Linked DNA regions of Bombyx mori. The protein of the gene in region 2 purifies or fractionates together with the protein of the main gene of each other region. This does not show direct contact. Links are inferred from orthologs where the notes say so. Each region holds a gene or a part of one and is shown on either strand. Other genes may lie near its edges. The genes, in order: putative leucine-rich repeat-containing protein DDB_G0290503, ATP-dependent RNA helicase me31b and protein LSM14 homolog car-1.

Region 1 (4,204 bases), on a different chromosome or scaffold from region 2:
TGGTTCCACACTTACATCCATGGCCGAATGTCTCATCGTTCAATGCATCGTATTCGTCCTCTGAGGGTTCTGCGCAACCTTCGTCGTCATTTAAGTTCTGAAATAAATAAAACTGTGTATCAAATACACTGGTTGAACTAGTTTTAGGACATCTTATTGTCGCTAGTTAATATACTAGTACTGCATTTCTAATGTTTAAGCCTTTTAGCTGGTCATTTGAATGAAATTGTAGATGCTCAACAATTTGTATCCGGAGTAGTAAAGTAAAAAAAAAAGAGCTTGTAGAGTGACTAGCAACAATTCATAATTATTTTAGATTATATTACGACATTAAAAACTTTATAACATAAGCGTTGATGTATCTTTCTTTTAATTACATGTTTGACTAAAAGAAACAAATACCATATGGTCCATGAATAGGGAAGCGAGCCAATGTTTAGACTAACTTCGAGTACAATATAATTTTTACATAATACTACTTTGAATTAGGAGTCACATATGAGATCAATGTTACAAAATTCATGAACTAGAACAATGAGATTCGAAAATGCAATAAAATGAAACATGCAAAACATTGCAAGGCTTCAAATGTCAACAATGAAATCAATGAGGTAGTCCTCTGTTATCACACATTGTCAAGTGAAGTCAATTAAATAAATCAATTTAGTCAACATTTGTGATATGAATATAAGAACAAAGGATTTTAATCTTAAACTCTTTAACCATTAACATATTATTGTTTTGGTTTTATCATTATTTATAGTATCCCCTTAATGGTTATATGTAATTAGGTGCAATTGTTAATTTAAATTTGTTTCAAATTGGATTTACCAACAATTTGAAGTGATATCAGATCAGTCTAAGAACGACTGTGACTTAAGTTAGCTGGTGGTAGGACGTCTTGTGAGTCTGCACGGGTAGATACCACCACCCTGCCTATTCTAGCCGTGAAGCAGCAATGCATTTCGGTTTGTACTGTACTGAGACCTTAGAACTTATATCTCGTGGTGGGTCGCGGCTAATGCGTTATAGATGTCTATGGGCTCCGGTATCCACTTGACACCAGGCAAGCCCAAGTTCAGGACTCTGGAATATGTGTGATCATGGCAGTCTCAAATGACAACTAATACTTTTCGATTATCTCTTCATGAAAACTAATTTTAATTTAAATCTCCATCTACAACCATCATCATAATATGCATTTATTTGAACATAGCTATTTTGTATTTTATTATTATGTAATAATGTATATTGAATATACTAAAGGATGTGTCATATGGAGCCATACCACACCATACAATGCTTACACACATTACATGTGTGCCAGATTTAAATGCAATTTCAGAAATAACAAAGTTATATTTACACTATGTATGTAGGTCACTGTTGCACTTTGACAGCAGATTTATCAGGTGAAGTTCATTCTCAAACAAAATAATACATTTCAAAAACAACAATATTCTATGGTTAGCACAGCATTTCTAGAAGATGGAGATGAACCCTGCCAGATGGTGATTTGGCAAATTTAAATTACTGGATCATTTAAAAAAAACATATGTGGCTACTTTCACTGCTACCTAAGCATGCTGGCTTCGAATACACTCTACAGCCCGCTACACGCTGGCTAATAAACATAGTCTACTGATATAACTGGTATAATACACTGAGGGATCACGGCTGCCTGTTCTCTGGTGAATCCCTTGGGACATCCAATATGAAGTCATTATGGTCTAAAAGATGACACCCGCTGTATTCATATTGCAGGATAAGACTGCAACGGTGTTCAAATCCCGCACACAAGTACAAATTTTTCTAATAAAATACATAGTTAAGGAACACTTCCAAGTTGAAAGAATAAATAAAACGAAAATCGCAAAAATATGATCTGTGCATTTACTGGCGGTACGATGTCTTATCAGTCCTCACGTTTGGTACTACCACTCTGCACGTTGCTGCCCAGAAAAAGTAATGCGTTGGTATGAAGGATGGGGCAGCTGTTGTATTGCAAGCGCGCGATTGTGCGACTTTCTTTTGAAAGAAAATATAAGGAACATTTTTCTGATTTGCACAGGCACTAACTACGCTTGGGCATGGAAAATGCGCCGGGCAATCAACATGGTAAGGTATTGCAAACTTTCCATTCTAGCTCCAAAAAATATTATAAAGTTTATATTGTGAAAAATATTATAAAGAACATTTTTCTGTTTTGCAGGTACGAAACTGTAAATCTTGATAACCCGCTGTTTTATTTCGAGTCAATAATAAAATTGTCGTGGTAAAGTGAAAGGTATTATAACAGTGATGATGAAAACTTTTCATAAAATGTAACATTTTGAATTTCACAACTTGCATCAATTTTGTTTTGATAACTTAATTGTTTTAATAAGGGCAAGTTTATGCTTCTTATTCACAATGAGTTCGTTAGATAAACAGCACTTAGGTAGAAATACAGTGGCATGTTTTTCTCAAAACTCAAAATTTTATATAAACAAAGCTATTATAGCTATTGGATTGACAGTTCGGTCAATGTTAAAATGTTAAAATTGGCGAATTTTCCGACTATTTTGATTATAAAACTTATAAGTTAGACAAATTATAAGTTGTATTTGTTTTAACAATTGTCTAAAAACTATTTAATGTGACTTTAAAGGATAAAAAAGCAAACATTTAGCTTAGAAACATAAGCATACTGAAGTGTGGCGTGTTGGCACTGATGCTTGCGCGCCTTTATTTGTAGCACTTTCTGCTACAATTTAACTTTTTATTTATCTAAGTCAGTTATTAGACTCACCGATAATGAAGTATCGAACCCAAAGAATGAATCTGCCATTGGATTTTTTCATAAATCTTGTACATAAATGTCATGACTTGTCACACACATATGTCGCAATGGCGGCCGCCGCCATGACAGTTGAGCGCGGATCATAGGTTATCACTAATGCATAGACTAATTACACTACATGCTGATAATGGAATAGATTTTCCGGATAGAACTACCGGTGGTTTGTTAAATATCATTGTGTTTAATATAAATAAACGTACTTACTAAAATCTCTAGACACAGTATTTAATTTTATCGCATTTTGTTTCATCCCAATTGATATTGATCGATAGAATCAACTTCGTTTTATTGAGTTCCTCTTCTCTTTTCAAATACCTACATAAAGAGCCAAGTTTAGTAATGTACTTTGTAATTGAAACTGTAATTTGAAAATAAAATTAACTATTGCTGGCAACAATGACATCAAAAATTCTCAAAATCCGATAGCTATATTTAAATAAAGAAAAAATTATGTTCCAAGTAACCTACTTTGTTTGTGTCATACAGTAACGCAGTGTAATGACAGTAGATTTACTGCAATTACTGCTTTTAGCGTCTATTGTATTGCAAAAATATAGTGTATACGAAACACTTTGACGCAATTTTTAAATTTGAAATTCATTAAACAAAACGCTCTATGTGACTTCCTTATGGCATGTATGCAATAATATGGAAATCCACTACAATTCTTTTAATTGAATGAATGATATCTCCGGGACTTTACTAGGTAATAGACTAAAGATTAATATTAAAATAATAATAATATTAAAATTATATTCGACAAAACAAAAATGTATCTGTAGATTGATCGTGTAATATTAGGGTTAATAATTCTGTGTAATTCATCGTCTATTCGTAATTTAGTTCCTTGTACACATCGGTCATATTATTTCATATTCTTGAGTTAATCAAAATATGTCTGCTTGCTTGTAATGTACCTATGTGAAAGTGCACAAATTTGGGAAAATAAAACAAAGCCGCTGGACGTAACTTCTCGGGATCCTCCAAAAAGTCCACTGAAAAAAATCTTAGTAAATGACTACCATTCTACTGAGATTATATTTCATCCCATTTCATTTCATTTAATTTCATCGCAGTTGATTAATGTCTCAAATTAATCATCTTCATTTCATTTCACTTCATAATATAATTTTTCATAAAAATATGAAATAAATTAAAATAAGACATGACTTAAAGGTCTCAGTTACCAGGTCATAAAATCCCTTCAAAAAAACTTATTAAGGTACAATGTGGCTCTGTAAATTTGGCCCCCTTTTTTTAATTTCGGATTTTTTTATTTTTAATTATTTGTTCGTCGTTTGTTCGTTAATGTTCGAATGTGAAAATTGTTTGTTCGTCTTTTATTTATTTATAATTAATTAA
Region 2 (4,229 bases):
TTCCATGAGATTTATTTCATAAGGTTCTTTCAAATGCTTTTCCATAAATTGTTTTACACTCAGAGGGAAAGTTGCAGAAAACAGCAAGATTTGGCGTTCCTTAGGTAATCTAAAATCCATCAATAATGTTTTTAATTCACACACTGTATTTGAAATTATGAGATGGCACATGACATTTATTTTGAGAAGCACTATTTAGCATTTCTTGGTCACTGAATTTGTTACACATGAAACTAACAAACGCTAACCTTGAAATAACCATATCCAGCATGCCCTTAAAGTCTTGTGAAAGAAGTTTGTCTGCTTCATCAAGAACTAACATCCGGCATTGATCCATTTTGGCCACCTGCTTATCCATGAGATCAATCATACGCCCAGGTGTGGCAATAATCACTTGTACTAGAAATAAAGTGTATATTCCATGAATATTTTCTATTTTGAAATTATTTCCATTTCAATTTGTGTATCTATATTTACCATTTTGATAAATACGCATTATATCATCTCGAAGGTTTGTGCCTCCTGTAGTAACCATTACACGAATGTCTGTGTGTTTTGCCAGTTCAATACAAATCTGTGATGTTTGGAGTGCCAACTCTCTAGTTGGTACAACAATTAAAGCTTGTATAGTATCCTTTTTAGGATCAACCTAAAACAATTCACTCTTGTAATTTCAATAATTACACAGTCTTGTTTTAAAACATAGTTTTTTTTAATCAGTTCTGTTTTGTCTCACTTATAAAAAGTGAAGGGGAATCCAAATATTTCATCATACATTAAAAACATAAAAATGAAAACTATTGTTACATATAACAAATTACCTGTTCCAAAACTGGAATACAATAAGCACCAGTTTTACCAGTTCCATTCTTAGCTCTTGCAAGTACATCTTTTCCACTTAGGGCAATAGGAATTGAGGCCTCTTGAATAGGAGATGGCTTCTCCCATCCCTTTTCAAAAATACCCATCAACAATTCTCGCTTCAAACAAAACTCTTCAAACTCATTGCCTCTAGTATCTGTGACATCCTAGAAACGAAATTTGATTATTATGTCCACTATAATCTAAATATATTCTTAAAATGATGTATGATGATGATCTATAAGAATGATCAATCACAAATATGATCTAAAAAATGAAAAATCAATATTTTATATTTCCAATAATCAGAATATACCATTGGATTTATGAGATTGCATAATTAAATAAAGCTAACTATATATGCTGCTAAGTGTTTTGAAAAATCAATAAGGAATACCATCATTACTATGTGGGCATCAAGAACTGAGGTACTCTTTGATATTAATTACTATTAAGGCAGACAATAGAACTCACCTAATTCATTAATAGTGTAGCTTAAAGACACAAAATTCTTTTACAATAGGATTAATTTTATTACAACTGCATTATAGACATGTTATGATAAAAAAAATCCTAAATAAATACAAAATGTTTAAAGTAGTAATTAATGTAGCATTGGAGCTATTTAAACAGAATTGAATTCTGTTTGTCAACAATGTATTAGATTGGAGATTGTAAAGACAAAAATCACTTATAATTAAATCAACCAAATACTTTTTCTTTTACTTTAACAGAATAAAACAATTCAAGAACTATACTTCCCCATAAATTTTATTTTTGTTTGTTGTTTAAAAGCAAACAAGCAAGCTTGTTGGAAATTTAAATTTTCAGTGTATAACTGGATTATTCGTGTATAACAATAATGCAATTGTAGAATACCACAAAATGTTCTAAAGTTGTTTTTAAATTGTTATATTTTGACTGTCTAAATTCCAATGACTATTGTATGTGGGCCGTAATTTCTAGTAACTAAGCCAACTTACACTAGTCTTTATTCTTCTGTCTTTTGGGGGTATTTTTAATTTTGATTTCCAACCAACGTCGTCGATGCTTTTGTCGACCTCTCTGAAAAATGCGTTTACATGATTAGAATATTGCTTCGTGTGATTCTACATGCAGTTAGCATGACAAAGGACATTTTATTAAATTTATACTTACCCTTTAGTTTGACTGATACTATTTCCGACGTGATTACTTGAACTAATTCTATTTTCGGTCATCATTTTGCCAAATTTATCCCTAGCTAGGGACGACTAAAATTAGAAACTTATAATCACACTAATTATTATTTGTCCAAGTCCAACACTAAATAAATTCTCTAAATCACTTTTAGACACGTATATTAGTCAGTTTATCACGTTCACCAAGTATTTCAGAATAGCTGAAACAAGAGGAACATATTTTTATATTAGATAAGTATATTAGAAAACCCGTTTCGGTCTTTTGAAAACGAAGATTACGAGACGCGTCAACAAGCTATATGACAAAGTAAATAAATCCCGTTATGAAGTGATTACTCGATAAGTTATTAGAACTAATAATGAGCTCAGTATATAGAAGTATTATAATAAATTAATGTTTACCAAAAGTTAAATGAAAAGGAGAGATTGAAAAGATAACAAAAGATTGTAAACTGAACTCAGTTATGTTTTTTTAATATGGCCGCCATCGCTTCGTTTAATTTTACTTTGTTTGTGAGGAAAAGACCTAAAAATTAATAAACTAAAACACTTCCAACTTTGAGATTAATACTGTTATAAAATATTGTTGTTAATTACCTAGATAAAAATTTAAAAAAGGTGACGACACTCGATACTCAACGACGACATCACAAGAGTTTACTCAACCAAAGACAATAATACACTTTTATTTTCTATTTCTGTATGTTGCTTGTTGCCTATGTTGGCTCCCTTGATTTCTTGAAAATATTTAAAACCATAAACATTTTTCTGGTCTATCTATTGTGTCCACCTAGTAAAAAGAACGTTACCTACACAAGACTTTCTTTAGAGTGTTTCTAAGCTTTAAATGGAAAAGTGCGATGAAATTAGAAATTATGTCTTCAGTATAATCATCAAATTATAGGAATTCGTAAAAAATCTAATTAATTTTTTTAACATAACCAGCTATTTCAATGCTGATGCACTTTCTCAGGCATTATTATGTTTTTATTCCACTAGTACAACAGCAAAATTATAAATTGACTAAATAAAACAGTTTTCAATTCACTGGTGGTATGGCGTATTATAAGCTCACAGGTGTCCTAAGTACTACCCAACTTATTTCTGGCACGAAAAGTTATGCCTTTTGACATGGAAGGTAAACTCAAGACTAGAATCTCGAGGTTTAATAATTTAGTGCTTCGTCGTGTTTAAGCGTTTAATAATGACATATTACAATTCAACATTTGTAAAAGTGTAAACAGTCTTTCACTTTAAAAAGTCCATTGAACTCTCAATAAATTCCTGCCATTTCACTGAGAGGTTATTTTTCATTTTACACAATAGCCACGCTATTTTTCAATCATACCTCATTTTACTCCATTTCATTTCATTCTAGAATGATTACATTTTTTTTACTTTGGTGGGAGGACGAACTCACGGCCCACCTTGTGTTAAGTGATTACCGGAGCCCATAGACATAGTCAACGTACATATAACCACCTACCTCAAGATATGAGTCCTAAGGTCTCATTTATTACAGTATGACTGCTCCACCTTTCAAACCGAAACGCATAGCTTTTTCACGACAGAAATAAGCAAGGTAGTGATACCTACCCGTGTAGACTCACAAGAACTACCTACCACTAGTAAAACCCACCGGTAGTAAACCCACCCAAACATTTTACTCTCAAACACAAAAAGCACTGTTTCCGCCTTTGAGTGAACTTGCGGGATTTGCTTTATTTTGCCTATTTAGTGTTTCTTCGGGCTTAAATGCGTAATAACGGTGGTTTACTAACTGCTTAGTATTTGTGAAAGTGCACAAATGTAGGAAAATAAAACAAAGCCTATGGACATAACTTCTCGGGATCCTCCAAAAAGTCCACTGAAATAGTTTCAGTAAATGGCCACCATTTTACTGAGATGTATATTTCATCCCATATCATCTCATCTCATCTCATTTCATTTCATTTCATTTCATGTTTCATATTAATTAATTAACTTCATTTTATTTCACTTCATATTATCATTTTTCATCTATTAAAATATATATATAAAGAATTAGGTTGTATGGTATGACACATTTGCCTTTTCATTTGGAAAAATAAAACTACTGTCACTGTCAATGTCTTATTGTCAATTGTCATAACATAGTACAAAAGTATGTTAAGATAGTGGTTAAGTTACATAGACCTATATAGTAGG
Region 3 (4,310 bases), on a different chromosome or scaffold from region 2:
CAGTGCTATATTGTGTCTATTTGTGTGACACAATGGCAGGGTATGTTCTTCATTGATGATTCAACCTCAAACAGATTTGTTTATTCTTGACCTGGATGTTTAATATCTACATATTATATCATCAATTTAAATTATCTTTGGTTCCCATGGTCCTAGTTTGGATCCACATAATATCCTTTACTGTGATTTTTGCCTTGATATTTGTTAGTTTCTAGACCAACCACACTGCATAGGATTACCAATTATATATACTATAACTTGATTGTTTTTTATTTATTTAAGACTGGTGTTTGTAATAAATAACTCACCTGAATGCTTTGGTCAGCTGTTGGACTTTTCCTATGAACACCGACAGCAGGTGTACCTGACCGAGATGCATTTTGTTGGGATCCTCCACCAATGAGGTCAAGCATTGAGCCTGTAATAATTGTTTCACACTAAAGCTTTTAATTAAATAGAATGTAATTTAAATATTAAAGCAAAGCTAGTTAATGAAGTCTATGCATATTGTGATGATTACACAGATTATGTAGATACAACAAATTACAAGTATACACAAACATTTTTACAAGTAACAGACCAAGGAGCAGAAGCTTTTAAAAGCAATTTTGTTATTTACATTGAAAATCATGGTAGACTTAAGGAATATAAAGGTTTAAATTTAACAATTAAATTAATATGCTATACTTATTGAACCATAAAACATTTATAAGCTCTCTGACGTTAATGCCAGACTATAAAAGGCCATTTAGAAAGTATGATCTACACAGTAGAACCTTTATGTAAAGTTTAGTTTTATTTAGAGAAGCATAGAACAATTCTTTTGAATAATTTGTTGACCTTATTAGTATTACTGTGTCACAATTTTGTTCACATCAAGATGCTACCAAAATTTATTATGTTAGCTACAGATGATATGCTTTGTGTTTATATAATAAGCAGTAATGTTGAAGCTCAAGCTGAATGCTCATTAAAAATAAACCTTGGTCTTTCACTTGGTTGGAGTGGTGGTTCACTCCAGAACCAATTGGAGCCGTTACAGGCTGAGCTTGTGATGCCAGTTCCACAGATTGTTGAGGAGACAACTCACTCGTCTTGTTGAGCTGGTTGTGAACTCCACTTGGAAAGCCAGCCATTGGATGATACTGAGGATATGGAGTTTGTCCAACAACTGGATGGTTAAACTGCCCCACATACTGCCCAGGAGCTGGTCCAGTACCCAGAGTTGGGGGTACAGACATCTGCATAATGGCAGGATCATTGGGCATTGAAGGAACATTATTTAGCACCCTGATATCCTTGATGTCAGAACCACGGAACAGAATGTAGTCATATACTTGGCTTTGAGGTGCTACCGGATATTGAGTCTCTCGATCCTCCGTGCCAAATGAACGCACTAAAAGAAAAAATACAATAGTTAGTAATCTGTTTTCTTTGAAAATTAACTATGACGTAAACTTTACACTATATACTATTATTTAATTTTTTTATATACATCTTCTTGTGCATTGTCCTGGTCTTCAACCGTGTATGTTGTTTTACCATAACCAATCATGATAAAACAACATACATATACTAATTCATTCCAACTATTATCAAATCATATCTAATCCATTTCTGTATCCACAATAGACATTTACTAATTTTTGAGGCATAATTATATTGCAAATAATGGTTACCCCATGGATATCAAGCTACGCATGCTAAATAACATATACAAGCCTGTAAATACACCATCAAGAGCTGTATAAGATGATTGGAAATGTATTTCATGCTTGACTTTTTTCAAGCTTCAATAACTACTAAACTTCAAGATTGATTTTGTAATAATTTTAAATTTACAACTATCAAATGTAAAAATAATTTTTCCATTTCAAATTATTCCCCTTTTCTGAATTATGATTAAAGCTCATGGGACTATGAAGAGAAAACCAACATATTTAAATTTTATATTATCTAGTATGGACCCATTACATGTTTTAGACTGTGCATTGTACAGTATATGTGGAAATGTAGCTCTCCAGAGGATAAAAGATGTATTGTTTAATTAATTTAAATTGAGTTACATACATTACATTTATAGTAGGTAGACCAAAATCAAATGACTAATATGAAACTTATTAGAAAATAGATTATCGGATATTTAATCTTACAAGAATTGAAGGTAGTTAGCATATGATTTTCAAGGTCAACGGTGTATATTCCAATATAACATTTTTTTTTATTAAATATAGCTAGTCATTCAGACGTTTCATACGACGTGTTCAATGTAACAATTGTTATATACGGTGTACGGCAAGAACAGTTTACAACGTCACCAATGTGTAAACGCAATCAAAGGCACATTTCTATTTCATTTAAAGAGGGTAGAAAAAAAAATGATGTCCTGCAAGAATCAACTTTTTATCTTATGACGATTTCTTCTATCTATAAAGTTTAATTTTCGTACAGGTGAACTTGGATCATACGGAGGGAAAATCTTAGCACTTTCTCGAGTACTTACGATTTCTGGCGAATTAATGATGAAACGCGGTGTTTTAGAGACATTACAATATTTCACGTTTACATTAACTGCAAACCAATAGTTTACATAAAAATTTAAAGAGAAAGAATCCATTTTTTAGCTTACCGCTAGCCAAGGCGATAGTACATTCCTGAGGATCGACAGTAAAAAGTCGGCCTTCGTAACGAATGTCAGCTTTCGATATTAGGCTTATTTTGGAGCCTAATTCAGGCATTCCAGAACTCATTATGTCACTTTGCTTGACCGATTTCGATGACAAAGATTTTCGACGATTTCAAAGACTGAAAAACTATCCACCGAATAAATCAGAACAAACAACAAAATGACTGACGGGAAGTTGGCAACAAGCGCAGCGTTTACAAACAGCCAGTGTTGCCGAATAAATTACAGACTCGCATAGTCTCACAGGCGATCCATAGATTATACACTACAATTTGCTGACTTCGCGCCATATTATATCATGTGGATTCAATTCACCCGAATTCGTGTTCACATTTCTTCGCTACCAGTAAAACGTTTGTAGTAGGTGTAGAAATTATAAGATCCAAAATTCACATTCACAGATCAAGAGTAGAACGGAAATTGAAGGTATAGATCACAGGTAAAAGTATACGACATTAAGTTAGTAGTTGTAAGCACTTATTAACTCCATGGCATACAAAAATATATAGATTTATAGGGTTTAAGTATTAGTAATAAACATAATTATAGGTATATTATAGGTATACCAATGCGCATATTGCTTATTTACACAGTTTTTAAGTATGTACCTACTTTAAATATATATAATTATCACTGACCATTATGTTTTTTCTGCAATTGGACTGGTAAAGGAGGAGTATCTAAAATTAAAAAAAAATTGAAAAGCGCTGGAAGAAATTGTTTAAGATGATACTATCATCTCGTTTTTACCATCGCACTTGCCGCCACTGGAGTAGAATTCATTCATACTACCTGGAGCCACTGTGTTCATCCACAGTGCGCTGCCAGAGATCTTTTCTGGCACGTACCCTCCGTCTTTGGAATGAGCTCTCCTCTACGGTGTTTCCCGAGCACTATGACATATCCTTCTTCAAGGCTTGTGGAGAGTACTCAACGGTAGGCAGCGGCTTGGATCTGCCCCTGGCATTGCTGAAGTCCATGAGTGACGGTAACCACTCACCATCAGGTGGGCCGTATGCTCGTCTACCTGCGAGGACAATAAAAAAAGTTAAGTAATTGTACTATTTTGCTAGGGCTTCTACAGGCTTAAGCTTAAAATAATGGTTAATGACTAACCATTTAGCATCTGTGAAAATGCTCAAGACTAAGTATGGGAATTAAAACAAAATCTCAAAAAGTGGCTTCTCTTCTTCCAAAAAGTTAATTGAATTCTCTGAATTCCCAATTAATCAACTTTAATTCAGTTTACCTCATTTCATTCAATTTTATCCTATAGTCTAGTTCTGATATTCAACTTATTTTTAATTTCGCTAACTTTTACTTTTTACATAACTAGCAAGACTTGATTTCAAATCATCATTAGCTCACACATATACACGGCTAGACATAAGCCAAGGTTCACCATAATGATCAGACTACCTGTATCTAACGGATTCCATAACAAAATTCCAACAGGTTGTCGATCCATCTTGTAAGGCCTGACCACACTGAATAAACGTTGTCCCAAAATAACATAAAGTTTTGGCTGTATTGTATGAGCCCTTAATTTTTTCTGTCTAAAAAAAAAAGATTATTATTGTCAAAACCGCAAACTTCAAAATAATCCTACCAAACAATTTGTTTA

What was found.
Region 1: the proteins of ATP-dependent RNA helicase me31b (region 2) and putative leucine-rich repeat-containing protein DDB_G0290503 purify together in Drosophila melanogaster (affinity purification with western blotting; 5 studies listed by BioGRID). This does not show direct contact. The link is inferred for Bombyx mori from reciprocal best matches to the Drosophila melanogaster genes me31B and Patr-1.
Region 3: the proteins of ATP-dependent RNA helicase me31b (region 2) and protein LSM14 homolog car-1 purify together in Drosophila melanogaster (affinity purification with western blotting; 6 studies listed by BioGRID, with this or other methods). This does not show direct contact. The link is inferred for Bombyx mori from reciprocal best matches to the Drosophila melanogaster genes me31B and tral.

Annotation. Positions count from the first base shown.
Region 1 is NC_085129.1:17,684,522-17,688,725, forward strand, and holds the start of putative leucine-rich repeat-containing protein DDB_G0290503, read right to left. Parts: upstream 2,950-4,204; 5' UTR 2,831-2,949; coding exon 2,792-2,830; intron 98-2,791; coding exon 16-97; intron 1-15.
Region 2 is NC_085118.1:10,825,160-10,829,388, reverse strand, and holds the start of ATP-dependent RNA helicase me31b, read right to left. Parts: upstream 2,801-4,229; 5' UTR 2,640-2,800; exon of another isoform or gene 2,445-2,639; intron 2,243-2,444; 5' UTR 2,085-2,242; coding exon 2,020-2,084; intron 1,927-2,019; coding exon 1,845-1,926; intron 1,029-1,844; coding exon 822-1,028; intron 650-821; coding exon 478-649; intron 400-477; coding exon 249-399; intron 110-248; coding exon 1-109. UniProt on the Drosophila melanogaster protein: ATP-dependent RNA helicase which is a core component of a variety of ribonucleoprotein complexes (RNPs) that play critical roles in translational repression and mRNA decapping during embryogenesis, oogenesis, neurogenesis and neurotransmission.
Region 3 is NC_085117.1:9,020,319-9,024,628, reverse strand, and holds the start of protein LSM14 homolog car-1, read right to left. Parts: upstream 2,934-4,310; 5' UTR 2,751-2,933; coding exon 2,630-2,750; intron 1,397-2,629; coding exon 983-1,396; intron 419-982; coding exon 309-418; intron 1-308.